Caenorhabditis elegans: one gene and its partners. The protein of the gene in region 1 purifies or fractionates together with the protein of each later gene. This does not show direct contact. Each region holds a gene or a part of one and is shown in the gene's direction. Other genes may lie near its edges.

Region 1 (8,316 bases):
GAGACCTTGATTTGCATAAAAATACAATTTAATTGCAATTTTTTGTCTGAATCTAGTTTTTGTTTGAATAAGAATTTTACATGGCTGAAGTCAGAATTAAACACACAAAATGTCGCTTTCAGTCAATCAACTTACTTCCTCGAACTCGCACTGAAGTGCTTCTATTCAGCAACACTGATGGATCCTTGATGGGATCCGCAGAAAAAGTGTGACTATGTTTGAATGATGTTGCTGCGGTTACTGTCCAATCGGGATTCAATGGATCACCAGTGATGACTGGTACAATCGGTTGAGAAACATCCTCGACTTTTGGTTTGTTACGTCCAAAAAAGCTCTGAAAAAAAGAAATAAATCGGTCTTAGATTTTCAAATTTTGGACAACAATGTTTTCGAGTCTTATTTGTCGACTTTTGTCAATTTTCGGATTCACTTTACTTGTTTTGACTTTATCCTTATTTTTGTCCTTAACTTCTTTCACAGTTTGAGATTCTTTTTTCACCATCAATGATTGTCTAATATGATCTTCATTTCTTACAATCAATTGCTTCACAATTTCCTCTTCTTCTGGATTATTCACCTGAAATTTCAACGTAGTCTTGGCAATAGAGGTTTGGAAAACTATACATTCAATTTACTCCTAACTTGCATATACAAATCTTCTTGTACATCTGTCAACTTCACACCATCAACATGCCGAAAATCTGTTGGTGCTTCAATTTCAACTTGTTTTCTTGGTTCCCTGTGGGATTTGAATGGATCATGAAAGAAACTACTTTTCTTCTTCGTCTTTCCCTCCAATGCTGGCTGCTTTGCTTTATCGGTACTTCTCGCTGAAATTTAAGGCTTGTGTATTATAGCCCCATATTTTGAAAATAAATTAGTAATTGTTGTATTTTCCCATTTATTAAAAATGTGAATATCATTTTCGAATAGTAAGCCTAAGAATCTATATATAAAAGTCACATTCAAAATCTAAAAAGATAAATTTTACAAATGTGGGGTTATCATACACAAGTACCGATTTAGGGTTCTATCTTGCATATATTAGAACTCAAGTTACCGTATTCTACCTATTTCTGTAATAAAAGCAAAGATAGACGGAAATATAAACATTACCCTATTATTATTGAACTCAAAAATTGATTTAAGAAATAGTATTGTACATAATAAAAATATGGAAAAAGCGATATTTTTCCAACTAGTTTAATAATCGAATTACTCACTTTGTCGTTTGCAAACACTATTGTGAAAGTTCTCACATTCCTTTGAGTCGTAAAAGTTCAATCCAATGTATCTGGATTCTGCCTCAAAAACGAGTAACCTTGCATGTTCCTGCATTGTTTCAAACTTTTTGTCTCTATAATCATAGTGTTAGTTGAAATTAAATTATATTCAAGATTACCTAATAAGAAAATCAAATTGAACTGTTGGTTCCCAATCTGGATCTGCAGATGGTTCCATTACTATTATCCGGTAATATCGTTCCGTACTGTTCTGAAAAATTGAATTAATCGTCTGTTGAGTTTGAGTATTTCTTTGCAAAACTAAATTGGATTTTGCAAACAATCCTACTGCGACTCACTTCGAAAAAAGTATACATTTCTCATTTTGAAATAATTAATCTAGATTAATTGTTTGTTCTTCTAGTAGTTTTCATATGATAACATCTTTGCAGCTTTCTACCACAGTTCATCTTTTTAAAATTTATCGTACTTACTTTCAAAAACAATGCCACAGCGGTTCCCCCATTCGGTATCCGCCAATGCCCATTTTCAGAAAAAAGAAGTTGACAAATACCTGATGAAAGTATCTGAAATGAGCACAAGCTAGTTGAATTGAAACTACATTTGTCTTTAAGCAGAGACCGTGCCTATCTCTTAGTGCACAAAATCATACCTTATCGCTTGCCGATATTCCTCTTAGAACACTATTTTTTTCGTTGATCTCGAGGAAATCACTCAATTCAGATGTAATCATTTGGAAATTAAAATTTGAACAATCTGGAATGAATAGAATACGAATGATACGATTTGACGAAAGTGCTTTTTAATACAGCAATTGTTAAAAATTTTGAAATATTTACTTATTTCCCAACTTTATCAGTATTTTTGAAATTATTGCTCGCTCTTAATTTTACCGCCTCCAATGAGTCATTTAGGAAGCAAATTCTCATTTCTTTCAATCTTTAAGCTATCCTCGCCATTCATACACTTCAAGACTACTGTAATTTGAAATTAAACAGTTTCAGACACTTTACATCCAGACACTTTACATTTCAAAACGTTTTCAGAGTTTTCTAATTTTTTTTTCAGTTTTTTAAGAAAGACGTTTTTTCAACACAATTTTTATTGGGGCTATTCTAAGAACTACACGTATACTAGGAACATTGGGAATGAATGGGTACAATTTTCACAACAACTGGGAAGAGGAAAAGTGAAGTTTGGAGAGTGTGGTGGTGATAAGAAACAACTAATTTTCAATATGAACAAAATTCGATGCAAGTAGTCAGTGCTTCTTGGAATTGACAATTTCCTTGACAGATCCGTCAGAGTACGCGAAGAATACTGCGTCGACGCAACCGATGAATAATCCGGTTTCAACAATTCCTGGTGTATTGGCCAATCGTTGCTGAATCGCGAACCAATCTCTTCCGGATACGTTTTTCTCGAACTGCCAATCAATAATGAAGTTTCCATTGTCTGTCACAATTGGTCCGCACTTTTTGACAGCTTGTCGAAGTTGACAGCTTCCACCTTCAGCGCGTGGAATCGAACGTAGAAGTGGTTGAGCAGCAAGAGGTAGAACCTGCAATAAATCTCATTAAAAACAGTCAACATAACTACATCTATTTAGAAAAAACTATTGTTCTAAAGTTTATTCTTTAGTGCATCTTTCTTTACTGATAATTATAAAAAGTTAAATAATTTACCTCAATTGGGACATTCGGATAGCGATCACCCAAGTGTTTGGAATCTTTTAAATAATCAGCGATCACGTAAAAGTTTTTTGCAGCGGTTTGAACAATTTTTTCTTGAGCCAGACATCCACCTCCGCCTTTGATGCACGTGAACTGTCCGTCAACTTCATCAGCTCCATCAATACACACATCCAGTTCTGGATGTGAATCCAAATCGGAGACAGGGAGACCAGACTCAATCAGCCATTGTTTTGTCTGAAATACTTATTTATAACAATTGGGTTTGTTGAAAATCTGTTTACCAAAAAACTGGTTGGAACACAGATGATATCCTTGAGACTTCCATTCTGAAATCCTTGTTTAAGATATTCTACCAAATACTTGACAGTGCTTCCGGATCCAACACCAAGACGGCAACCACTTTGCACATATTTTTCACCGCAGGCAAACGCAGCCTGAAATGATTAATGAGGGTTGGAATTGGTCTTAATTTTTGACTTACTCGTTTCTTCGCCTGCTCAATAGGAGCCAGTTCTGCTTCAGGGCCGGTGGAGGTGACCATTCTGGCGGTTCGCAATACTCCTGATAATGGAAATTTTGTAGAAAACATACAAAAATGCTGAAAAGAAAACGAAAACAATAGTAAATTGATAAGAAAGACTGAAATTTTCAGCTGAAATACTGAAATTAATGAAATTCTGCATTGAGACGTGACGGTGTTTGCACTAAAACTACGATAACACACACTATTTGACGACAATTGCTTCTCATTTTTCTTTTTTCTTTTCCGAATTTTCTTTAATTTTCAGCTTATTGAATCTTTCATTAAGGTTATTTTGAACAATTTTCAGAGAAATGAGCAAACGGCCAGTGATTGAGTCTGAAAAGCCTGCGTGGCACGATGAGGACGACGATAATATGGTTGTGGCGGTTCCAAAAAAAGTGAAAATGACAATGCGAGTTGAACTCAAGCGAACCACAGACGAAGAACATGGAGAATTGGATTCAAAGGTAAATTTTTTTTAGAAATACGTTATTCAACGTGTAATAAAGATTATATAATTGAAAATAGGCAGAAGGATAAATTACTTCTGAAAAATAATTTTAATATTTTAGGAATACGTTGGTAGATTGCAAGAGGCGTTCAGAAAACGCCACGGAGGCACACCAAAATGGGCTAAGGCTGCTGCAGGTTTTTGGAAAATCAATAGTTCAAAAATCGTATTTTACAATTTTAGGAGACGAAGAAGAAGGGTCATTGTTGAAAACTGCTGCCGGATATTTGGCGAAAGACGTGAATTTACCAAAAACAACTATTCATACAACTCTTATAAAAGATTTCAACATCGGACACCGATACACTCGTGGAATCACTGTTGTTAAATTTCATAAAACCCGACCAGTGCTCATTGTTGCCGATCAAGGTGGAAATGTTCAACTTTTTAAAGTAAGTTGTGTTTTCTGTTTTAATTAAACCATTCCTTACTTATTTCAGGTAAGTCGTGAGGTTAAAAAGGATCGTTTCCTTCAAAGTGCGAATTTCTCAAAATTCCCGATTGATAGTCTGGAAATTGCTGATAAAGGACACTCTGTGATCTGTTCTTCAAGCCGAAAGGAATATTTGATGCAGTACAATATGGAAACAAGAGAAGTGACACAGTTGAAACCTCCAAACAGTACGTTTAATATTTAATAAAATTTGAAGCAAAACTTTGAACATTTTACAGCAGTACCAAAGCAAGGAATTCGGCTCTTTGCCATTTCGCATGACTCTCAATTTTTGGCAATTGCAGGACACAATTCTCACATCTATGTTCTCCATGCTACTGTATGTCAAAAAATTAAATTATTGGCAAATTAAAAGTTTAAATGTAAAATGTTTCAGTCGATGGAGCATATCACAACAATATCACTCCCAGCAAATGCGTCAGAAATCAAGTTTTTCCCATCGCACAGCCGTGAAATTTGGATCATCTGCGGTTGGTTTTATATTGCCAAAAATTCAAAAATTATTCGAAATTTCTAGAGACCGGCCAAATTGTGATCGCAAACATTGGATTGCCGGGAACCAAATCATCGCAACATACATTCACCGACGATGGAGCTGTGCACGGAACAACACTCGCCATCAGCCAACATGGAGATTACTTTGCGACTGGGTAAGCTTTTTTAAAATCAAACTTTTATAATTCGTAAAATCACGATACTGTCATTCATTCATATAATTCATATATTAATATAATTGTACAGTTTGCTACATCTTTTTTTTTGTTGATATTTTCAGTTTAGCAACAAAAATTTAAAAAAAAAAATCTTTTTTTGTTGAATTCCGGTGAAAATAAATGACCTAGTCTTTACATACATCCTGATTATATGATGAAAATTTGAAATTTCCAGAAGTGATACCGGAATCGTGAATGTCTATTCTGGAAATGATTGCCGCAATTCTACAAATCCTCGTCCACTTTTCAATGTTTCTAATCTCGTCACCGCGGTCTCATCAATCGCTTTCAATTCTGATGCTCAATTGATGGCAATTTGTTCAAATGTCAAGGACAATCATCTTCGTCTCGTCCACGTGGCAAGTCAGACAACATTCAAAAACTTCCCGGAAAGAAACGGAAAAGTGACACATGCAAGATGTGTGGAGTTTTCTCCAAATGGAGGATATATGGCCGTTGGAAACGATGATGGACGTCTTCATGTTTTTGAAATTCATCATTTTACAGACTATTAATTGGTTCTAACATTGTTATTCTTTTCTTTGTCGTTGATTTCGTCCAAATTGTTTTGTTTTTATTCTTCATCCGTTTTTTTGTTGTTATGAAAATTTATCGTTTTTATTCCAACTTCCAGAGCAGCTTTTGAACCACTGGAAGATTTAAAAATACAAACCGACGTTTGCACAAAAAATTCAAAAACAGTTGAACGTAGTCCTAGTCTGTACCGAAAAATGACTTGATCGTTCTTTGTACACTATAGTGACATAGAATTGTCTCAATAGTCGCCAGTTAGAAAAGGGTTGAACAACACAACGAACGATCGAAAATGACGAAAAATTAACAATGAATGTCAGTTTTTCACGTGAAGTCTGGTAGAATTAGTATAAGAGGAACAAGAAAAGTTTAATTTGTTTCTCCAAAGTCCGTTTTTCGGCAGATTTTTCACTGGAGCACAATAACCAATGGTCTCTTACCGACCTACTTGTCACCCGATTTTATTGTGTTTTGATGTCTTAATTCTAGAATTGTGATCGTTGATTATTTGATTGAGAGGAAAACGAATTCAGATTTCTTATCGAAAAACCTACAATTATAACTTTTCCGATCTGTCAATTTGGCCATTTTTTAATTATTTTTTTTGAAGATTAAAAAAAGTTACCGTTTATTCTCTATTAGTGCGGCATCCCCATTGTTCAACTTTGACATCTCATATCTCGGTCATCTCTTGATTTCAGCCAAAAAACTTTAGCTAAAATGCTTATTAAATCTTTTTCTATGCCTAATGTTTTTGAAATGTACAAAATCACCCAAAACCTTCGAGATATATGCAAGTTGAGCTATGTGGGTGCAGCACTGAAAGAGAATATACGATATATTACCATTTTCAGATAAAATCAACTGTTTAAAACTACATCGAATTAACAAATCTGTAAAAAATGTAACGGTCATTATGACTGAGATCGTGGCGAGACCCACTCAAAAAACAGTGTGTGTCTTTAAACTGATGACGGAAAGAAATTTCGTGAAATTATGTCCTCAGTATTGAAACTTGGCACTCAGAAGATTGTTGCTTTTATAAACTCAGTTCCACAAATTTTTTGGCGCCTGTACATAACGACGGAAAAACTGAAATCAAAATACACGTGCCTTCAAAGTACCTTCTCCAGATTTCAGCTTCCACACGATAATTGTTTTTCGAATAGAAGCTACGTATAAAGCCAAATGTTGATGTAATGCCCGCCTGATTATTATCATTGTAAAGTCCACTTCCTCTAGTAATACGACGATATCACAAAACTAACAATTATCATGAAAAATATGTTCTTTCTATAAGTCAGTTAAAAAATTTATTAAAGACTCAATTTAAAATATCAATTAAGATGTCAATGTTTTGGATTTAGGAACTAGAGATTAAAATTATTTATTTTCTAATGTATAGAGTTTATAAAGTCGACAGGCAGGCACAAAAACTAGTTACAAGACATGTGTAACTTTTATTCATTTTCCAATTTTCGATTGTATCACAAGTCTTTGACTAACTAAGTAAGAAGTAATATCATTTTTGGAAATCTTTCTCTGATTCCACCTGAATATTATCATTGCGACGAGTTATAATTCATGAATCTTCTATATTTACTCCTCAACAAATGTGACTCGTCTTGATCTTTAACTTGAGTGTTGAGCTGGATATCGTCGGATTTGAATAAGATAAGTGGGCGAAAAAATGATACGACATTTTTATTTAATTTATATTCCGAAGTGGTATAGTCAGAGCCTTTTCAAATTTTATGTTTTTTGAACGCAAATATCTGGAAAAATGTTATTAATATATCCAATTGAAATCAATTTTTGATCACAACCGATAGTATCTTTACATACACAAAACACAAATTCTTAGACATAGAAAACAGTTTTTAAGATGCAACCTACATTCTATCAATCAATTTTATAGTTTTTTATAAAAATTCTGACTTCGGAGATTGTATCTTTTTAATGACAGGTGGCTACAAGTATTTGTTTGTTTAACTATAAGGAGAGAGAGTATACTGCATTTATTCCTTGGTTAAAATCCAATAGAAGCATATCTTTATGTATTTCATTAAAGTTTCAAGTTGAAACGTCAACTAATGAAACATTTTCAGGTGTGTATAGAAATAGGGAAGGTGTGAGCCATCCAGTGAGCAATTAACATTTTTGAGCCTACGTGGAGCTCTTTCTCCTGTGTATATTTGGAGCATGTTGACTTTTCGCATAGGACCAAATTTAATTAATTGTTTAAAATATTCGTCAAGGTAAGACGTCAAGTCATTTATTAAATTGTAGTGCACAAAAAGCCGTACTTCTGACTCATGTGTTCAACGTCAGATGAAAATAAATGCTCATTCAACCAAAGATTAGCTCGTTAGAAAAGTTCAGCGATCATAAGAGTTCATTAAGACTGCAAGTTCCAAAGAATCAGAGAGAAATGTCTGGCTTCTCTCTTTTTTTCCTTGATATTTCAGTGAGTCTCTTTGTGTTTCTACTTTGATTCAGGTATCTACAAGATATTTTAGTTTTATTTTTGTCTCGGTGTAGACACAAACGCGCATTCAATTCTAACAGGATTAAAAGAGCAATGCTGTAATATCTGGATTTCTGATCTTTTGGGAGGTATCTGTTTGAAATCAGATTCAACTT
Region 2 (6,976 bases), on another chromosome or scaffold:
TTTTCGACACAGTTTTCACTGTTCCAACGCCAATAGTGTCGCCCAGCGAGACCTCATAACACCCAGATTCTAGAAGCTTCTCGGCGACTCTGGCCACCATTTCCGGCTGTACAGCTCCCTGATACGGGCATCCAACGACGACTGAAACGTAGCCACGTACTCGAATATTGTTCTCGAGGGCGATTTTTGTGACTTCCATGAGCTTTTTCAGACTATCTTCCACATTGGAATTCACATTTTTCAGTGAAAACGCGTCTGAAGCTGCTCCAAATACGGCAATCTCTTCGACGACTCCTGTTGCGAGCTGGAAACTTGAGAAATTTGCAATTTTAAAGGTGGAGTAGCGCTAGTGGGGAAATTGCTTTAAAACATGCCTATGGTACCACAATGACCGAATATCATGATTAAAAATTTTTAAAAAAATTTCAAAATTTTATATGATTTTTTGAAAATTGAAAAAATCTCAGTTTTTGCCTAATTCCTATTTGAATTTCCGCCAATTGGATTTGTTCGATGGAGCGCGCTTGCACGTTTTTAAATTTATTTATTTTATTTTTTGTTATTTTCCACCGATTTTTAATGTTTTCAGTGTATTTTTGCTCGAATTTTAGAGAAAAAGCCAAGATAAATTCAAATTTTCGATTAAAAAGCACGCTGACAGGCGTAAATCAGTGAAATTAATTAATTCAGGTTCGAAATCATTTAAAAGCGTTACTTTGTCATTTTTACGCCTGTCAGCGTGCTTTTTAATCGAAAATTTGCATTTATCTTGGCTTTTTCTCTAAAATTCGAGCAAAAATACACCGAAAACATTAAAAATTGGTGGAAAATAACAAAAATAAATAAATTTAAAAACGTGCAAGCGCGCTCCATCGAACAAATCCAATTGGCGGAAATTCAAATAGGAATTAGGCAAAAACTGAGATTTTTTCAATTTTCAAAAAATCATATAAAATTTAGAAAAATTTTTTGAATTTTTTTACTATGATATTCGGTCATCCCCACTAGCGCTACTCCACCTTTAAGCCCTAAAAAATCAATAAAATACCGCGTTTTTGAGGCCAGCGGCGTTTGGAACCAGAACCGGGTAGGAGACACCTTCAAATCTCCGATGTTTCTTGACAATTTCGTTGTGATCAGCCAACTGGGGCACCCATTTCGGTGAGACGAAGCTTGTCGTCTCTACCGTTTGAAATCCGCACTCTGAGAGCCGATCGATGAGCTCGACCTTGATTTCGGTGGGAACGAACTTCTTTTCGGCCTGAAATTAAGAAAATAATGGATTTTTTGCAATTATTTTGCAATTTTCCAGGATAAATTACCTGTAAACCGTCTCGCGCGCCAACTTCCACCACACGAAATCGATTTATTGCTGTGGAGTAGGCACGGTTGGCCAGTAGGCGATTGGGCAGCATTTTTTAGCGCGCCTAAAAATATAAAAATAAGGTTTTCTCCATAAACATTAAAATTCGAGCGGTAAAGCAGAAGAAAACATATGAATTGCTCCTAAAAACTGATGGAAACAATGAGAAACTAAAAGAAAAAAATTATTGAGATTTTTCGATATTTTCTGCGGTTTTTTACTGTAAAGTATCAATATTTATCGTTTAAACAATAAAAATCAATAAAAATCCAATAATTTCAGCTAAAAATCAAAGAAAAATCAAAGAAAAACATAAAAAATAGATAAAAAATAAATAATTTTTATTCGAATCCCAAAAGTCCGCAAACACCGCACACCACATTTGACGACAAATTGCACACATTTATTTATTTAATCATTTTTTATTTATTTTTCTCGATTTTTTCAGTTTTTTACTCGAAATTTATCAAAAATACATTAAATTTTCAGATGCTCCTTCGGAAAAGCATCCCCTACATCAAAATATGCCGAGATATAAGCGCTTCCGTCCGAAATAACAAGGAAATTGCGCAGAAACTCCCGCTCTCCGTGCCTCTGCCAATGGAAAACAACTCCAAATCAATAGAAAAAGGATGCCCGCCAATGGGAAGAAACTCGAGGGTTACTAGACTTCCGAACGGCCTGAAAGTTTGCACAGAAGACACTTACGGCGATTTTGTGACTGTTGGCGTCGCGATTGAGAGCGGCTGCCGCTATGAAAATGGTTTTCCGTTTGGAATTTCGAGAATTGTGGAGAAACTTGCTTATAATGTAGGCTTTTGATAGGAAAAATTATGGAAAATTGGAAAAATTAGAGAAAAATATGATGCAAATCGGGAAAAAATGACGAAATTTGAGTTTTCTCGGGCCAGTTTCGGATTAATTTTTACCCGTTCTCCAAAAACCAATAAAACTCAAAAAATACGTTAAAAAACAAACTTAAAACAGAAATTTGCAACAAAAATTTAAAAAAAAACAGGAATTTCTACTGAAAAAGCTAAATTTTCAAAAAAATAACTTTTTAAAAACTTGGTTGAGTACCAAAATCTGTGGAAATATTTTTAATTGACTCCAAATTTTCCCCTGATTCCGAATATCAATGTGAAAAAATTCAAAAAAATTTCCCTGATTTTATATTTAAGCTTGAAATCGCCGAATTTCATTTGTACCTCGGAAACACTTTTTTTAAATTCGCGCCCAAAAATATTCGCATTGGAGCGCGCTTTGATTGTCTTCATTTAAATAATTTATTTATTTTTCGCCGAGTTCAGTTTTTTTAAAAACCAGTTTCATTAATTTTTGTCGAAAAATATTTTTTCTTAGAAAAACCGATACAGATTCGACAAAAATTAATGAAACTGGTTTTTAAAAAAACTGAACTCGGCGAAAAATGAAGAAAATATTCAAATGAAGAAAATCAAAGCGCGCTCCATGCGAATATTTTTGGGCGCGAATTTAAAAAAGTGTTTTCGAAGTACAAATGAAATTCGGCGATTTCAAGCTTCAATATAAAATCAGGGGAATTTTTTTGAATTTTAATTTTTTTCACATAGATATTCGGAATCAGGGGAAAATTTGGAGTAAATTAAAAATATTTCCACAGATTTCGCTACTCAACCAAGTTTTTTAAAAGTTATTTTTTTGGAAAATTTAGTTTTTTCAGTAGAAATTCCTATTTTTTTCTAAAATTTTTGTTGCAAATTTCTGTTTTTGAAGTTTAATTTTTTGAAAAGAAAATTTTGAATTTCTACGCATTTTTTGGGTGTTTTTGTTTTTTGGAGAACGGGGGTAAAAATTAATCCAAAAATGACCCGAGAAAACTCAAGTTTTGTAATTTTTTCGAAAAAAAAACCCTACAGAGCCAAATTTGCCCCCACAAACCAAAAATTTCCAATAAAAAACTAATTTTTCACAAAAATAAATAAATATATATATATATATATCCATGAGAAAATATCTGAAAATACGGAAAAATTGAAATGTTTCAAAAAAAAACCCTTACAATTAAGAAATTCTTGAAACATATATAGTCGGGTTACTGTAGTAGTACAATAGTGGTACGGTAGGAGTACTGTAGGGTTACGGTAGTTTAGGAAAAATTCGTTATATACATAATATATATACATACTATATATCCAGTATACATAGTATATATCATATATATATAGTTTCAAGAATAACTTAAAGGTGGACTAACGGATAAAATTTTTTATGGCGGTTCAAAATTTCGAAAAAATTACACTGATTTTAGCTAAAATCTCGAATTTTGCCTATTTTTCGGTGTCACATCAGTCCGAAGTTGACTTTTTCGGAATTATCATCCTTTATTGCATATATTGGTAGTTTATCTCATTTAATTTTGTTGATTAAGGTACATTTAAAGCCGATAGGTGACCAAAAATCGTCGAAATTGGTTACCGATCGGCTTTAATTGTACCTTAATCAACAAAATTAAATGAGATAAACTACCAATATATGCAATAAAGGATGATAATTCCGAAAAAGTCAACTTCGGACCGATGTGACACCGAAAAATAGGCAAAATTCGAGATTTTAGCTAAAATCAGTGTAATTTTTTCGAAATTTTGAACCGCCATAAAAAATTTTTGAAAAATTTTTGAGCAGTTTCATCACGAAATTCGTTCATTTGAGAACATTTTGGGTCTATACGTTCAAAATCGTCCGAACCGTTAGTCCTCCTTTAATTGTAAGGTTTTTTTTAATTTTAAAAATTTCCAAAATAGTTTTTTTTTGAAACTCGAAAATTTGTTAAAACTAATTTTTCCCAAAAAAAATTGCAAAATTTCCAGTCATCGGAATCGTTCTCAAGCCGCGACGAAGTCTTTGCAAAACTCGAGGAAAACAGTGGAATTGTGGATTGTCAGAGTACACGTGACACAATGATGTACGCGGCGAGCTGCCATCGTGACGGAGTGGATTCTGTAATTCACGTACTATCCGACACTATTTGGAAGCCAATTTTTGACGAACAAAGTCTCGAACAGGCGAAACTAACAGTTTCCTACGAGAATCAAGATCTACCGAATCGAATTGAAGCCATCGAAATTCTCCTTACTGACTGGATTCATCAAGCGGCTTTTCAGAATAATACTATAGGATATCCGAAATTTGGCAACAATTCGATGGATAAAATTCGAGTTTCTGATGTTTATGGGTTTTTGAGCAGAGCTCATACTCCTCAAAGAATGGTTGTTGGAGGTAATTGTGTTGTACTTCACGAGGAGAGGTTTCGATTTTTTTTTGTTGAAAAATCGCAAAAAAAATGTACAAAAAAAACCGTTGAAAATTAGAGAAAATATGGAAAAATTGAGCTTTTTCAAAAAAAAAACCTTTTCGGAAAATTTTATAATTAAAAAATTCTTACAGTACCTTACAAGTACTGTAAAAACCTTAAAGTTACAGTACTTGACTTACAGTAATCCTACAGTACCCCGACCATATCCCTCCACTAACCAAAAAACAAAACCGCTTCAAAAGACAAAAAATCAACTTTTTCCAAAACTACAATAATCCTACAGTACTCCTACAGTACCCCCACCATATCCCTCCACTGAACCCAAGCCAAAATCCATTCAAAAGACGAAAAGTCTTTTTTTCCAAAACTACAGTAATTCTACAGTACCTTTACAGTACTACCACAGTACCCCGACCATATCCCTACACTGAACCGAAACCAATATCTCTTCAAAAGACAAAAAATCAATTTTTCCAAAGCTACTCCTACAGTACCTCTACGTTACCCCTACAGTACCCCGACCATATTCCCCGACTAACCGGAAAGCTATATCCCTCCAAAAGAGAAAAATCAATTTTTTCCAAAACTACAGTAATCCTACAGTACTCTTATAGTAGCTCTACAGTACCTCTACAGTACTACTACAGTACTACTACAGTACCCCGACCTTATCCCCCGACTAACCGGAAACCCATATCCCTCCAAAAGAGAAAAATCAATTTTTTTCCAAAACTACAGTAATCCTACAGTACTCTTATAGTAGCTCTACAGTACCCCTACAGTGCCCCGACGATATCCCTCTACCGAACCAAAAAACAAAACCGCTTCAGAAGACAAAAAATCTTCTTTTTTTTCCAAAACTACAGTAATCCTACAGTACTACTACAGTACCCCGACCTTATCCCCCGACCAACCGGAAACCCATATCCCTCCAAAAGAGAAAAATCAATTTTTTTTTCCAAAACTACAGTAATCCTACAGTACTCCTACAGTACCCCTACAGGTCCCCTACAGTACCCCTACAGTACCCCGACCATATCCCTACACCAACCAAAATACAAAACCTCTTCAGAAGACAAAAAACCATTTTTTTTTCCAAAACTACAGTAATCCTACAGTACCTCTACAGTACTACTACAGTACCCCGACCTTATCCCCCGACCAACCGGAAACCCATATCCCTCCAAAAGAGAAAAATCAATTTTTTTTTCCAAAACTACAGTAATCCTACAGTACTCCTACAGTACCCCTACAGGTCCCCTACAGTACCCCTACAGTACCCCGACCATATCCCTACACCAACCAAAATACAAAACCTCTTCAGAAGACAAAAAATCATTTTTTTTTCCAAAACTACAGTAATCCTACAGTACCTCTACAGTACCCCGACCTTATCCCCCGACTAACCGGAAACCCATATCCCTCCAAAAGAGAAAAATCAATTTTTTTTTCCAAAACTACAGTAATCCTACAGTACTCCTACAGTACCCCTACAGGTCCCCTACAGTACCCCTACAGTACCCCGACCATATCCCTACACCAACCAAAATACAAAACCTCTTCAGAAGACAAAAAATCATTTTTTTTTCCAAAACTACAGTAATCCTACAGTACCTCTACAGTACCCCGACCTTATCCCCCGACTAACCGGAAACCCATATCCCTCCAAAAGAGAAAAATCAATTTTTTTCCAAAACTACAGTAATCCTACAGTACTCCTACAGTACCCCGACCATATCCCTCCACTGAACAGAAACTAATATCTCTTCAAAAGACAAAAAATCATTTTTTTTTTTCCAAAACTACAGTAATCCTACAGTACTCCTATAGTAGCTCTACAGTACCCCTACAGTGTCCCGACCATATCCCTCTACCGAATCAAAAAACAAAACCGCTTCAGAAGACAAAAAATCAATTTTTTCCGAAACTACAGTAATCCTACAGTACTGTAAGTGTAAGTACAGTAAAATATCGAAAAAATATGGAAAAATTGAACTTTAAACCTCTGAAAATTTTCCGATTTGTTTCAATTTTAAAAAAGTAGTATACAGTTAGAAAAACTGTTATAATTTTTAATTTTTTTGAAAAACGTCTTAATTTTCTGTTTAAAACTCGAAAAAAACTTGAAAAAAAAAACTAGATTTTCAGAAAAAAAAAATTAAAAATTCTTTTTTGCAATATTAATTTCAATGTTCTCTTGCCAGGAGTCGGCGTCGGCCACGACGAATTCGTTTCCATCATTTCTCGTCACTTTGACCTCAACAAATCCACGTGGACTACACAACCGACAGTACTTCCCGCCAAAATCCCGGAAATTG
Region 3 (6,324 bases), on another chromosome or scaffold:
GATAAGACACCTACGAGAATTGATACCGATCATTTTGTTGTTTGGTGTTGTTTCTACCAGGCAGTGAATTTTCAGTTTTGAAGGTTGAGTTGGTAGGCACTTTTTTCAACTTTTTTTCCTTGGCTTCAAAAAATATACTTATTACGCTCTTATTTTAAAGGTGTATATATCACGGAAAGAGAAACAGTCACGAGCATTTTATTTATTTATTTATTTACTTCAATACGAGCATTCAACTAGATTCTTTCAATTTGTTCTATTTCTTTACACTTTTATAACAAAAGGCATGTAAAAAATTTAAATTTGAATCACCGCGATGACAAATTCCTTTTTTTTACTTTTTTTTACTTAATTTTGCTTATTTATTTTTGCTTATTTTTGGACTTCTCAATTGTTGATTCAAATTTCATAGCCAATTTTTTTAAATTGAATTTCCTTGTTGGGCCAGTAAGATCAACTTAATGCAAAACCCAAATAAATGATACTAAAAATATTTATTTCTTCAAACTTTGAAACAATTTGCACTCTTTATGAACCAAAAGTCAAGAATGTGGCAAACATTTGCGAGTGGAAGGCAGAGAATTCGATAAGAAGAAAACAAAAATGAGTTCTAGATCTGAACTGTTAGTTTTCACATCATTATTGTTTTTTAAACTTTTCAGATATAGTTTAATTGGAAAACTTATCATAAAATGTAAAAGTTTTCCAATTAAATTTAAAAACAATATATTCCAGTTGTTTTTTCCAAAAGCCGGAACATTTTCGGAACAAATTATTCCAATCGGATTATTTTCTATTTCATTTTCTTTTTTTTTTCTCCGAAACGTGAACTTTATGAAATCCCAATTCCACAACCCAAAGTACATATTTAACCTCCAACAAACAACACAATTCTGTTCCCTCTTTTTCACCCGTTTGCACTTTATTTCTTTTCACTCACCTCGAGTCACGTGATCTCCTTCTAAGAACTGAATTTCAAAAACACAAAATGTTGTTTTCATCCGTTTCTATTTCAGCCCTTTATGTTTTTATTGAACGGTGAAAAGATCGGATCATTTTTACACTGGCTACAATTTTATTTTTTCTCATTTGTTCGTGTATGTCATATACCTGCCTGCCTGCGTGCCTTCTTAGCCCCTCGATTCTACATTCTAACATAAAATGAGCTGGGTGGTGTACACACATGATAAATTTACGTTTATCTCCCTTTATCATTTAAATTGTTTTGTTAAAAGTTCAATTAAGAAATGGCAGGTATTTTTGTGCGTATTTGGAATAGTCATAAAGCATTTAACCAAACTTCTTTCCTGAAAATATTGTTCATTGTATATTTTCATATCTTTTATCCAAAACAACTAAATGCTCAAAAATCGCACATCTGGTTATCACGTGCGGTTAGGAAAAATAGAAATCAAATATTTAGAGTACCCAAGTTTTTTTCCAAACAAAATCTATTTTTATCGTGGTCATTTGCAAACAATTCTACACTTTGTTCACTAGACTTGAGACCAACTGTTTTTTTTCTGTTTTTTGTCCGCTGATGCTCCAATTGCTCTACCACGTGTCTGTGCTCCTATCAACTCATTGGTACCTCCCTTGATGTTTACACAAATATCTTTTCTTTCTTCTCAACTCTATCATTATTGTCTGGCCAACGTGATTCGGCTGTTTTTTTTTTTCGTGCCTAATTATTTTAAAAAAAACTTTTCTACAAAATAAGAATTTTCAGAAATCTTAAAAGCGTCCCGAAGTAGTTCAAGTTGTTTTAGTACTGGAGCTCATTAAGGTTTAGAAAAATCATAAGCTTCTGTTTTTTTTTCGCTTTTTTGTCGAAAAATTTTAAAATAATTGCTGAATTTTCATGAATTTTGCAGACTTCAAGTTTCAAAATGCCGAACCGAAAAGTGGTCAAATTCTTCTTCGATGTCATTTCTCCGTACAGTTACTTTGGATTCGAAGGAATCACTCGTCATCGTTCCGTTTGGAAGACTCCAATTCAGATGAAACCATTCTTTTTTGCTGGTGTTGTCAGACATACTGGTGAGTTTTTGTATTTTTGTCTTGAAATTTCTCTAATATCCGTAAAAAAATGGAATTAGCTTTTTTAAAGTAAGGTTTTTAAACCATGACCCTCTAACAATTCCGTTTGAAATGTCAAAATAAAAGCTTTCAATTTACTTCTGGAAAAGGACATGCAAAACCTTAAGAAGCCTGTATGTTATTATTTTCTAAAAAATGCACCTCTATCTATTTATATCATAAGGTCGGCTACTTCTACTTCTTAAAATCTGCTTTAATCTGACGAAGGGCACTAGAATAGATAAATACACTTAAATAGTTCAACAATAGTTCAACATTATAATAGTTGAACATGACATATATTAACATAATAAGACAATCCAAAAATTTCAGGATTTTTCAAAATGATCAGTGAACGTTTTGATAAGTTGCCAAATGTCCCTAAAAGGACTATTTGAAAGCAATTTCGAGACATTTGGAAAAGTGATATTTGGTAATTTTATAAGTATAGGAGCATTGATAAATAACATAATTGTTTTGAAAATTTTTTTCGAATCGTGCTAATCATCAGAAAGTTGTTTGATATGTACCTTCTAAATCATATAACTGCAAGTTTTCAGAAAACCCCGGTCTCCCACTCCGTATTCCTATCAAAGAAAAGTACATGCACAAAGATTTGCTCTTCTCTGCCCAATATTGGGGAATTCCGTTCCGTCTTCCCAAGGACTACACAAATATGATGTTGAACACAAGTTCAATCGTTCCACAACGTATTCTTGTCGCTTCACAACTCCGTGATAATGTTTTGATGGAAGACGTTGCTCGTGGACTCTGGCATCGATTTTATGCATACGGAAAACCAATTTTCACAAAAAGTCAAGTTGCCGAAGTTTTGAGAGATTTGCATGTAAAAGATGTCGATGAGTTGGTGATGATGAGTGATTCGGCAGAAGTTAAGAACATTTTAAGAGAAAACACAGATGAAGCCATCGGGAATGGAGTAGGTCATTTATTATAGGAACCCAGAAAAACACGGAATCGACGAGAAAACACGCTCCACAACCAATTTAAAACGGTCCGCCCCCTAACGATGGGTCTCGTTAGGTATTTTCCGTTAAACTTGAACGTTTTTGATTAGGCTCGACAATTTTCTAGAATTAGTCTTTCTGTTATATTTTTCGAAGTGTTTAATGATTTCAACATCGAAATGATGTCTAAGAAAATTATGTGAATTTAGGGCGTTTTCACTTATCATAATAATTTTATTTCATCTATTTCAACCGAAAAAACATCAAAAACTACGAAAAATATAACAAAATAGACGACGAACGCAAAATTCCTAACGAGACCCATGGTTTAGGGGCGGAGCATTTTCAGTTGGCCCCGGAGCGCGCTTGCGCGTCGTTTTAAAATGTTTTTTTGCTGTTTTATAATATTCTCAATTGGGAATTAAAATTAATTTTTTTCAGTGTTTCGGAGCTCCGTGGATGCATATCACTGATGGTCACGGAAAAGTACTTCAAACAGTTTTCGGATCGGATCGCCTTCCACAGGTGGCCGATTTTCTTGCCGAGCCATTCAAGGGTCCAATGAGAGAGAAGAAGCCGAACGCATAAATTGTCAGATTAGCATTCTAAAAAGTGTCTAGAATTTTATCTGAGAAAGAATAACGATTAAAATTAATTCTTTCTTTTGTGTTGGCAAGAGAAATACAGAAAACGATGGAAAAAATGTGGAAACAAAAAGACTACTAATCTATTTCACACGAGTTTCAATTTGTTGCGGCAATTACAGAAAAAAAACGGAGCAAAAAAGAAAGAGCATAAGCTAACGAAAACTTGGGGTTGGTTGGGGGGACGAAGGGTGAGAGATCTGAGTATGTGTTAGTTTTGCGTGGCCTCTGATGATTAGCCGAATATAAATAAGGGAAAGCGTAAAGGTTTGATAAAAAGTAAAAGAGAAATTTCAAGAAACGAAAAATAATATTACCGGTACAGAGAGTGTAGATAGTTAGAGAGTGACAGACATCCGGGACCCAATGGGGCGGGGCGCGCGGAAGAGACGATTTGTGTCGATTTACGAAATTTTCCTCGTTGTCATTATTTCGTAAATCGACACAAATCGTCTCTTCCGCGCGCCCCGCCCCATTAGGTCCCGGATGTCTGTCACTCTCTAACTATCTACACTCTCTGTACCGGTAATAGAGAACAAATAACAATCTGATATTTTCTAATCAGCTTTTTGAACTTTTCTTCGTGCGGCGGCGGACCTCGTTGTGATGGATGGCTCAGCGATGTTAGCATTGATATCTTCTTTTGGCTCCAGAATTTCGAAATCAACAGGCTGAAAAACGAATTATTTTTTTCCAAAGATTTTTTAAAAATATGCTCATAAGTCAGAATTTTCCAAGTTTCCCAGCAAGGGTAACGGGTTTTCCATTTTTTACTGAAATCTAACAATCGAAATGTTTTTTCGATTTTTCTGATATTTCGAAAAAATTCGATTTTTTCCAAATAGAAAAGTTAAAATTGTGGTCATTTTTCTTCTTGGAAGAATAAGTTCATATGTTTTCTTATGTTTTTTTCCATCAACATTAACAAAATTTGATGAAAATTGAATTTTATAATTATTTTCTGAACATTGCCGATTTTTCGATTTTCTTGAAACCTTTTTTCTCAGGTAAATTAAAACGAGATCGGGGAAATTTTTTGAATTATTTTCATAATTTACTGTACCTAAAAGATGCTCACCTCTTCCTTTTCCTTCTTATCTTTCTTAACTTCGGTATAACGGTTGTTTTTCTTAACATATGCATGGTAGAAGAAGTTGGCGAAAAGAAGGAAATATGTGAAATAAACTCCAAAGCATAATCCCAAATTGTCCCATGTCTGTTGGCAGTATTCACCCGATGACTTGATACGGTAGACAGTGACTCCGATGATTACTCCCATAACCATTTGAGCAAGTTGGAGAGTAGTAACAACCATTGCCATTTGTTTTGGAAGACGGAATTTCAGAGAACGAAGAGCATAGTAGGAATACATAAGAGCATGAACTCCATAATTCATCCAAATGAACCACCGTCCTGATGCAGTGTGATCCTTGTACGCGTGCCATGTGTAGATCATAACAGTTACATGATGATACCAGTGAAGGAAGATGAGTGGACGTTTACGAAGAACGATGAAGATTGTGTCGATGAGCTCGAAAAGTTTGCTCATTGCGAATTGTTCAGTCCAGAAACCAGTGACTCCTTGAGCATAAGATGAATGACAAATTGAATATTTGAATGAGTTTCCTTCTGCTGACCAACTCCATACAAATTCAGGTGTCATTCGGAGGAACCCGAGAATTGAGAAAATGGCTAAAAATGAATTCCAGACGAAGAGTGGTGTGTCCAGTTGGAAGGGCTTGTACTTTTCCATAATCTGAAACATTTGAGAACTATTAAGTGATTTTCGGTTTCGATTCTTAATTGCATTCTGAAGGCTAGACTCAAAAGTAATAACTCGTGATTTTTTGTAGATGAGAACCACCTGCTAAGCAATTACTTTAATGTCGATATATTTTCGGTTATGCTTTAAAATATGTAACGCACCTAGGAGGCTTCTGAAACGGAATTCACAGTTTTTGGGAGTAGAGGTTGTGTTTTCTATAGTAAAAACTGGTTAGAAACTACCGAATTCATGATGAGACTTCTCAAAAAAAATTCTAAAAATTTTTATGACAAAAATTCCGAAAAAGTCCAAAATTTGAAATTTTGCCAGCTTTTTCTTGTCGCTGCAGCTGGGAAACAGTTTTTTATTGATGTAATAACTTTTATTGAATATTTTGGTAATTATTCTCGCGTTAACTAGTTTCTTTTAGCACATTTCAGATTTTAGAAAAATGCGCCTCTTTTTCGGAAATTGACACGCCATAAAAATTCTTTTTTTTTTTTGAGAAGTGTCAATACTCTCTCTTTAACCACTATTGTAGTTTTCGACTGTTTTTCTACACATAATTTTCTACAGACATTTCCAGGAAATATGGTGTGACTTCCTATGTTTCACTGTTTTTGGAGCATCATTTTCTGTCATTATCATGTCACTTTTCTAGCGTCTCACCTAGCTAAAACTCTTATCAGTTTAACTATAACTAATTTTTCTGCAACTATCAAAAAAGCGTATACACAAACCTTCTTTCCTGTAAAAATGACGGCTACATACACGACAGATGCTGTAATTGATTGATACCAGTGATTTTGCATCCATGTTGTCGATCGAAATGCATCAAAAGATGTCTCAAAGGGAAGGAACTGAAAAT

What was found. The genes of interacting proteins can lie anywhere in the genome.
Region 2: the proteins of B0280.9 (region 1) and mppa-1 fractionate together in Caenorhabditis elegans (co-fractionation; one large-scale study listed by BioGRID). This does not show direct contact.
Region 3: the proteins of B0280.9 (region 1) and gstk-2 fractionate together in Caenorhabditis elegans (co-fractionation; one large-scale study listed by BioGRID). This does not show direct contact.

The regions. Positions count from the first base shown.
Region 1 is NC_003281.10:7,118,348-7,126,663, reverse strand, and holds B0280.9 (U3 small nucleolar RNA-associated protein 18 homolog), read left to right. Parts: upstream 1-3,768; 5' UTR 3,769-3,772; coding exon 3,773-3,928; intron 3,929-4,033; coding exon 4,034-4,109; intron 4,110-4,155; coding exon 4,156-4,364; intron 4,365-4,412; coding exon 4,413-4,593; intron 4,594-4,644; coding exon 4,645-4,745; intron 4,746-4,802; coding exon 4,803-4,896; intron 4,897-4,943; coding exon 4,944-5,076; intron 5,077-5,314; coding exon 5,315-5,654; 3' UTR 5,655-5,759; downstream 5,760-8,316. Other genes in the region: B0280.2 (uncharacterized protein), read right to left, coding at 136-334, 431-577, 643-830, 1,224-1,357, 1,403-1,494, 1,718-1,810, 1,897-1,977; rpia-1 (Probable-ribose 5-phosphate isomerase), read right to left, coding at 2,506-2,805, 2,930-3,172, 3,220-3,372, 3,420-3,479. UniProt on the Caenorhabditis elegans protein: Involved in nucleolar processing of pre-18S ribosomal RNA.
Region 2 is NC_003279.8:1,745,932-1,752,907, reverse strand, and holds the start of mppa-1 (Mitochondrial-processing peptidase subunit alpha), read left to right. Parts: upstream 1-1,852; coding exon 1,853-2,173; intron 2,174-4,212; coding exon 4,213-4,621; intron 4,622-6,862; coding exon 6,863-6,976. Other genes in the region: Y71G12B.10 (hydroxymethylglutaryl-CoA lyase), read right to left, coding at 1-304, 1,049-1,261, 1,323-1,415. UniProt on the Caenorhabditis elegans protein: Substrate recognition and binding subunit of the essential mitochondrial processing protease (MPP), which cleaves the mitochondrial sequence off newly imported precursors proteins.
Region 3 is NC_003282.8:7,237,821-7,244,144, reverse strand, and holds gstk-2 (Glutathione s-transferase kappa 2), read left to right. Parts: upstream 1-1,874; 5' UTR 1,875-1,889; coding exon 1,890-2,040; intron 2,041-2,639; coding exon 2,640-3,019; intron 3,020-3,488; coding exon 3,489-3,635; 3' UTR 3,636-3,700; downstream 3,701-6,324. Other genes in the region: elo-3 (Putative fatty acid elongase 3), read right to left, coding at 4,249-4,362, 4,770-5,447, 6,197-6,316. UniProt on the Caenorhabditis elegans protein: Has roles in respiratory and lipid metabolism.